Saccharomyces cerevisiae S288C: one gene and its partner. The protein of the gene in region 1 purifies or fractionates together with the protein of each later gene. This does not show direct contact. Each region holds a gene or a part of one and is shown in the gene's direction. Other genes may lie near its edges.

What was found. Proteins that work in one complex are often made in the same cells at the same time.
Region 2: the proteins of FPR4 (region 1) and NOC3 purify together in Saccharomyces cerevisiae (affinity purification with mass spectrometry; 2 studies listed by BioGRID). This does not show direct contact.

The regions. Positions count from the first base shown.
Region 1 is NC_001144.5:1,028,802-1,032,557, forward strand, and holds FPR4 (peptidylprolyl isomerase FPR4), read left to right. Parts: upstream 1-2,032; coding exon 2,033-3,211; downstream 3,212-3,756. Other genes in the region: 60S ribosomal protein eL6 RPL6B, read left to right, coding at 53-67, 452-967. UniProt on the Saccharomyces cerevisiae protein: PPIase that acts as a histone chaperone. Histone proline isomerase that increases the rate of cis-trans isomerization at 'Pro-17' (H3P16), 'Pro-31' (H3P30) and 'Pro-39 (H3P38) on the histone H3 N-terminal tail.
Region 2 is NC_001144.5:154,331-158,086, reverse strand, and holds NOC3 (Noc3p), read left to right. Parts: upstream 1-1,752; coding exon 1,753-3,744; downstream 3,745-3,756. Other genes in the region: THI73 (Thi73p), read left to right, coding at 1-153; CMS1 (Cms1p), read left to right, coding at 357-1,232. UniProt on the Saccharomyces cerevisiae protein: Required for synthesis of 60S ribosomal subunits and the transport of pre-ribosomes from the nucleoplasm to the cytoplasm. Also required for initiation of DNA replication.

The DNA.
Region 1 (3,756 bases):
TAGGTTTGACTACTTTCTTGAACTTGGAAGAGAAGCAAATATATTCAACGAAATGACTGCCCAACAAGTATGTGTAAAGATGAGTAAATTGAAGGATGTGATGGTTATGGAGATGGCACACGTGCCTAGAGGAAAATAGTTACCCAAGAACAAAAGCAGGAAGGGAGCTAACCTTTTAAATATGAACTGGACAAAACTGGACAAAATGAAAATAACGATTTTAGTAAAAATGAAAATATAGCATCAAATGACTGAGAAACATAGTAACAATAACTCATATTATAGCTAATCTGAGTAAACTTCTTCCTACGCTAAGAATTTTTTTGAGGATAGTACCAAACCTTGTGCTGAATCAGCACACGCCATGCCCACCATCAATTGTGCAAGAAAAAAGTAAACGAGTAGTATACTAACTATATATGTGATTTACATCACGATATGTCAATTATAGGCCCCAAAGTGGTATCCTTCCGAAGACGTTGCTGCCCCAAAGAAAACCAGAAAGGCTGTTCGCCCACAAAAGTTGCGTGCCTCTCTAGTTCCAGGCACTGTTTTGATCTTGCTAGCTGGCCGTTTCAGAGGTAAGAGAGTTGTCTACTTGAAACATCTAGAAGACAACACTCTATTGGTCACTGGTCCATTCAAGGTCAATGGTGTTCCATTGAGAAGAGTCAACGCTCGTTATGTCATTGCTACCTCTACCAAAGTCTCCGTGGAAGGTGTCAACGTTGAAAAATTCAACGTTGAATACTTTGCCAAGGAAAAATTGACCAAGAAGGAAAAGAAGGAAGCTAACTTGTTCCCAGAACAACAAACTAAGGAAATCAAGACTGAACGTGTTGAAGATCAAAAGGTTGTTGACAAGGCTTTGTTGGCTGAAATCAAGAAGACCCCATTGTTGAAGCAATATTTGTCCGCTTCTTTCTCTTTGAAGAACGGTGACAAGCCACACCTATTGAAATTCTAAATTGAACTGAAAAAATTATAAATGATTTAAAATAGAATTTCAAAACAAGGAGAATTGATAGAGAATGCGTTGATCTGAAAATACTGTTTGACAATAACGGAAAGGTAAGTGGATATGTAATCTAAGTTTAATCCTCTTCTAATTCATTTTTCCTATCAACATTATCTGTGCTTTTCTATATCCTTCTTTTTGTATCTATAATTTTTTTTTTCTCTTACATAGCAAAATACAAAAAATCATAAATATTAATATCTAAGGGTTCAAGATCAGGTCATCGCCGTTCTGGGCCACTAGGCTATATCTATTCATTTACATTGGAAGCTGCATGGTCTACTCCAACCGCACTGAGGCAAAGTCTCTGTGGAGGAAATGCTGTCCTAGCGAGCCATTGCAATAGGTATAATCAGAGTCGTCCTCCCAATGTGTTAACTTCTCTCAAAACCACCATATAAATTCTGTAACCTGCCAGCGATAATGTTATATATGTAAAAGGTAAACATACAACCCAATTTGTCCATACTAAGTGGATGCTGGGGAAGCAACTACAGTGCAGATGCTAAAGTTTGCTGCGGCAAATAATCTCAACATTTTTGTGATTAAACCTGCCTCAGTGGGGTGTATGATTAGTGCGTTGATATTTAATACACGCGTAAAAGTTAAGTCTGTTGTACGTTTTATTTCGAGTGACGAAAGAACTACGAATAACTTCCTGCATACTGTTGCCTTTTTCTGTATTTACGTATACTTTTATATCAAATAGCTTGGCCAAAAGAAAGTAGCATTGTGTATCAAGTCATAATTCTAATTCTTAGTTTAACTTCAGCAAAAATAATATTCTTCGTCAGACATTCTCATACAATCATTAACCCATATGAACGTTAAATTTCTCAATTTCTTGCCTTCGATGCCCTATGTATATTTTTATCTCAAACCCGAGGCAGTGAAAATTTTAGCTGGTGCATCGAAAAGAGAAGGGCATTGAAAATTTTACAGTGTTAAAAGAAGTGCTTTTCATGTTAGAATGATAAGAAAAAAGAAAAAGACAACAAAATATACGTCTCTACCATGTCTGATATGCTTCCATTGGCTACGTATAGCCTGAATGTTGAACCATACTCCCCAACCCCAGCTCTGAACTTCAAAATTCCGGTTACCATTAGAATCACAATGGCGGCCATCGACCCTGAGCCCTTTGACGATGACAAAAAGCCATCTACTTTAAGAATAATCAAAAGGAATCCTGAACTCACTCGCGGTGAGTACTACAACCAAGATAACAATGACGGCCTCGAAGAGGATGAAAGTGAAAGTGAACAAGAAGCAGATGTACCAAAAAGGAGTGTCAAATCAAAAAAAGGTAAGGCAGTCGAGCAAAGTGAATCAGAAGACTCTGAAGATGAAAACGAAATCGACGATGAATTCGAAGAATGCGTTCTTTTAACCTTATCTCCAAAAGGCCAATATCAACAAGCTTTGGATATTACCATTGCACCAGAGGAAGACGTTCAATTCGTCGTTACCGGTTCATACACTATCTCTCTAACCGGTAACTACGTCAAACATCCATTCGACAATTCTTCAGATTCAGACGAAGATGAAGAAGACTATTACAGTGACGAAGAATCTTCCAATGGAGAAGAAGAAGAAGAAGAAGAAGAAGAGGACGATGAGGAACTAAGTTCCGGTGATGACGATCTTGATGATTTAGTAGATGCTAGTGACATCGAAAGTCGTCTTGATGAATTAGTCAAAAAGGACGAAAAGAAGAAAAACAACAAGAAGGACAGTAAAAGGAAACATGAGGAAGATGAGGAAGAAAGTGCTAAACCTGCCGAGAAAAAACAAACGACCAAGAAAGACAAGAAAGCAGAGAAAGTTAAAGACTCGGAAGAGAGCAAACCAAAGCCAAAGACGAAGCTACTGGAAGGCGGTATTATCATTGAAGACCGCGTCACAGGAAAAGGCCCACATGCCAAAAAGGGTACCAGAGTTGGAATGAGATATGTTGGTAAGTTGAAGAACGGGAAAGTTTTTGACAAGAATACAAAGGGTAAGCCTTTTGTTTTTAAGTTGGGCCAAGGCGAAGTAATTAAAGGATGGGACATCGGTGTTGCTGGTATGGCGGTCGGTGGTGAGCGTAGAATTGTCATTCCTGCTCCATATGCCTACGGTAAACAAGCTTTGCCCGGTATTCCTGCTAACTCTGAATTGACATTTGATGTTAAATTGGTCTCCATGAAATAGGGTCCTTAATGCATACGTATTGATATATGTATCTATAATACTATATACAATTATCTATACTTCCATTACTAATATTATCTTTCAATTTTACATGTTTTTTTCTGCCATAAAAAAGCAATATTTTTTTGCGAGCTATTTAGTGATATAGCCGCCCAGCTACTTGTCGATGCATATATTGGCTGAGAGTACTAATACAATTATCGGAAGACCTCAAAGTAAAATATAGAAGCTTTGAGTAAAAGGAGCTCGAGTTTTAAAAATGACTTCGTAATATGTAAAGTTTATGTCATATATACTTACACGATAAATAGACCATTGATCGTTAGAGACGAGCGCATTGTTTTGTTGAATCCCTTTCAACAGCGCGACAAAAGTTAATCGAGAACAATAAGATGTTGCATTCAAGGGTTAGTCAAACATATCAGAAGGCCGTTTTCTAAATCACCTCAAGAACCTACCACACAGATACATCTTGAAGAGGTGGAGTACCAAAGGGAATATTTTGTACGAGCAAGTTATAGTAAGACACTTCAGTGAGAAATTAA
Region 2 (3,756 bases), 870 kb from region 1:
TGTGTTTGTGTTCCCCTACAATTATACATTGGCTACATTTGCAAGAAGGAGAACGAAAAGCGTGATAAGGAACAAGAAGGTCAAGAAAGGAAGAAGTACCAATTTTTGGACTTGACTGATATCGAAAACAGAAATTTCAGGTACATTTACTAATAATCAACTTTTAATTTACAATATATAATATTTTTAGTCTGTAATATTCAATATTCAAAGACACCCAAACATTCATTGCACTTGGTATTTACCAAAAAATTGAAGAGAAAATTTTTGAGATGACCATGGATGAGGCAATGAAAGTCGAAATTTGATCCCCGCTACTAACTTCTAAACATATCGTCAGGACAATTGAGCTGAAAATGTCTAATCCAGATGATTTAGATGATGGACTCGCCTATGATTTTGATGCCGAACATGAAGTAATTTTTGACGCCAAGGATGGTAGTCCCCCAACCAAAAAGGTACAAAAGAGGTCTATAGAACAAGATGACGATGACGTTGATGATATAGATGGGAAAAAAGAGGAGAGAAATTCAGAAGATGATTCGAATAGACCTATTTCGAAAAGACAGAAAAAGCTACAGAAAAAATCAAAGCTAATTGAGAAAAAGAAAGAGGAAAGCCAGTATATCGTCTCACAACGAAAAGCACTTCCAGCAAGTTCACCAGAAAAAATTATTGAGTACCTAACAACTTTGATACGAGAAAAAAATCCTGACTTGAGTGTTTTAGAATTAGAGGAACTTTACTTCAAAAGAAATGATTTTCTTTCGACAGAAAAATTTGACGCTGAACGCAGATTAAGCAATTTCCCAGCCTTTATTCAAAAATTTTCCGTAGCTCCAAAAAAAATTGTTTTTTCTATGTCTAATATTAGAGTAGCAGACGTTTATCGTAGTCTAAACGGTGGCAAAAATTGCGTCAAATTATTCTCTAAAAGTAAACTAAAGGATGACATAGCCACCGTGGAACGTTTACTTACTGACAGCTCTAAAAAATCAAACAAAAATAAAGATTCACTATATTTTATTGCCACTCCAACAAGAATGCAGAAAATTATAGAAGCTACTGACTTACTTTTCCAAGGTAAGGAAAAGTTAGATATCATTCTTGATGCAAGTTATTTAGATCCTAAGGATAATACTATATTATCATTCGAGAATGCAGCCGTCCTCTGCCAAGTCTTGAAAACCTTTTTGAATAAAAAAAGCTCCGTGAAAATACTGTTATATTAATAATAGCGCTTTTTCACTGAGGTTCTACACATAAGATTACGTTTTTAAATACCAGCCTTAATTTAGTATATTAAATATTTCATTCTAGCATTTGATGGGGTACTTCAAATTATCTTCTTTAAATTGTCCAAAGCCCTTCCAAAAAGTAAAATCAAAGGAGAAACTTCGAGAACGCCTAGGCGCGCAGCAAACTCCATATATAACAATGTATTTTTTCTTTAACTACATAAAACCAATTTATCCTATTTTACTCTTTCCATGGAGTGTATGCTTTTTTGTAGTTACTTAGATTCAGAAATTCAATGTCTTCCCTCATTTTCTTCACCGTAGAGTAGACCATGGGACGTCGTTTTACTTTAGTTTTTGAATTTTTTCAGCGATGCCCGAAAACTGAAAATTTTATCTCATCTCATTCACCTGCCTGCCATATATAGTATTTTCATGGTATAAACTTGGCATTTTATGTCTTCAATCATAAGAGTATAATTCCGGGATAAAAGCTGGAGATATCATAGTAATAATGGCTAAGAGAAATAGATCTCAATTTCGCATTCAGGAAAGGACTGCAAAGAAAAGAAAGCACGAAGATTCCTTGTTAGAAGGCAATGTTTTCCAAAATGCACCGGAAGATATGGATGAAAATACCATATATAGCGCAAAAGGCTCATCCTGGGATGAAGAAGAACAGGATTACGAAATGGTTCCTCGGAAGAATCGGTCTGATACATCAAATCTTGTTGAAGGCCTGCCTATAAAAGTTAACGGTAAAGTTGAAAGAAAATTGCATAAAGCCCAAGAAAAACCAAAGGACGATGATGAGGAAGACGAAGACTCTAATGACTCTTCAGAAGATGATGAGGGACCTAATGAAGAACAAGAAGCAGAGGCAAAGGAGGATGAGCCTGATACGGAGGAAAAAATTCTGCAACTAAAAGAAGACATTGCCGATTTAGTCACTAAAGTTATGGAGGAGCCTGAAGAAAATACTGCTGCGTTGGGGCGTCTATGTAAAATGGTGGAATCTAAAAATCCTAATACTTGTAAGTTTTCCATGTTGGCTTTGGTCCCCGTGTTTAAGAGTATCATACCAGGCTATAGAATTCGACCACTAACTGAAACTGAAAAGAAGGAAAAAGTTTCTAAAGAAGTCTCCAAGCTTAGAAACTTTGAGCAAGCCTTAGTTTATAACTACAAAAATTACGTCGGAAGATTACAGAGTCTTTCAAAAACTCCCAGTAATGCTGCTCCTATACAGGTTTCATTAGGGATTTTGGCCACTCAAGCCGCAAAAGAATTGATTTCAACGGCATCCCATTTCAACTTTAGAACAGACATTTTCACTTTACTGTTGCGTAGAATTTGTAAACCAAGAATTTCAACAGATCCAACTTCCATTCAAATAATCCAGACATTTGAAACTCTATTAAATGAGGACGAAGAGGGCTCAATATCATTCGAGATACTAAGAATTTTCAACAAAATACTAAAGACGAGGAACTTCAACATCGAAGAATCTGTTTTAAATATGTTATTATCGTTAGATGTCTTACATGACTATGACCCTAATACTAAATTGAAAGGTAACGTTAGCGCTCCTAAGCTCAAAAAGAAAGATAGGGTCCATCTTTCTAAGAAGCAAAGAAAAGCTCGAAAAGAGATGCAACAAATTGAGGAAGAAATGCGTAACGCTGAGCAAGCTGTTTCTGCGGAGGAAAGAGAAAGAAACCAATCCGAAATTCTAAAAATCGTTTTCACTATATATTTGAATATCTTGAAAAACAATGCAAAAACACTCATTGGATCGGTTTTGGAAGGTCTAACGAAGTTTGGTAATATGGCCAACTTTGATCTATTAGGGGACTTCCTCGAAGTAATGAAAGAACTTATTAGTGACACTGAATTCGATAACCTTTCCTCTGCTGAGGTCCGTAAGGCTTTGCTTTGTATCGTTAGTGCATTCTCACTTATTTCAAATACACAATATATGAAAGTTAATGTGGATTTGTCCAAATTCGTCGATGGGCTTTACGCGCTATTACCTTATATCTGTCTTGATGCAGACATCGAATTATCTTATAGATCGCTAAGGTTGGCTGACCCACTCAATAACGAAATAATAAAACCATCAGTTAACGTTTCTACCAAAGCAGAACTTCTGCTAAAGGCTCTGGACCATGTATTTTTCCGCTCTAAATCAGGGACTAAAGAAAGGGCTACGGCGTTTACCAAAAGATTGTACATGTGCATCAGCCATACCCCAGAAAAAACAAGTATTGCCATTCTTAAATTTATTGATAAATTAATGAATAGATATCCAGAAATTTCAGGCCTTTACTCTTCCGAGGATAGAATAGGCAACGGTCATTTCATAATGGAAGCCGATAATCCTTCAAGGAGTAACCCAGAGGCAGCAACCTTATGGGATAATGCTCTTCTTGAAAAGCATTATTGTCCTGTAGTTACAAAGGGGCTACGCTCTCTATCATCTAGATCTAAAGAGTGTTCTAAATAGCTAGATCCTATA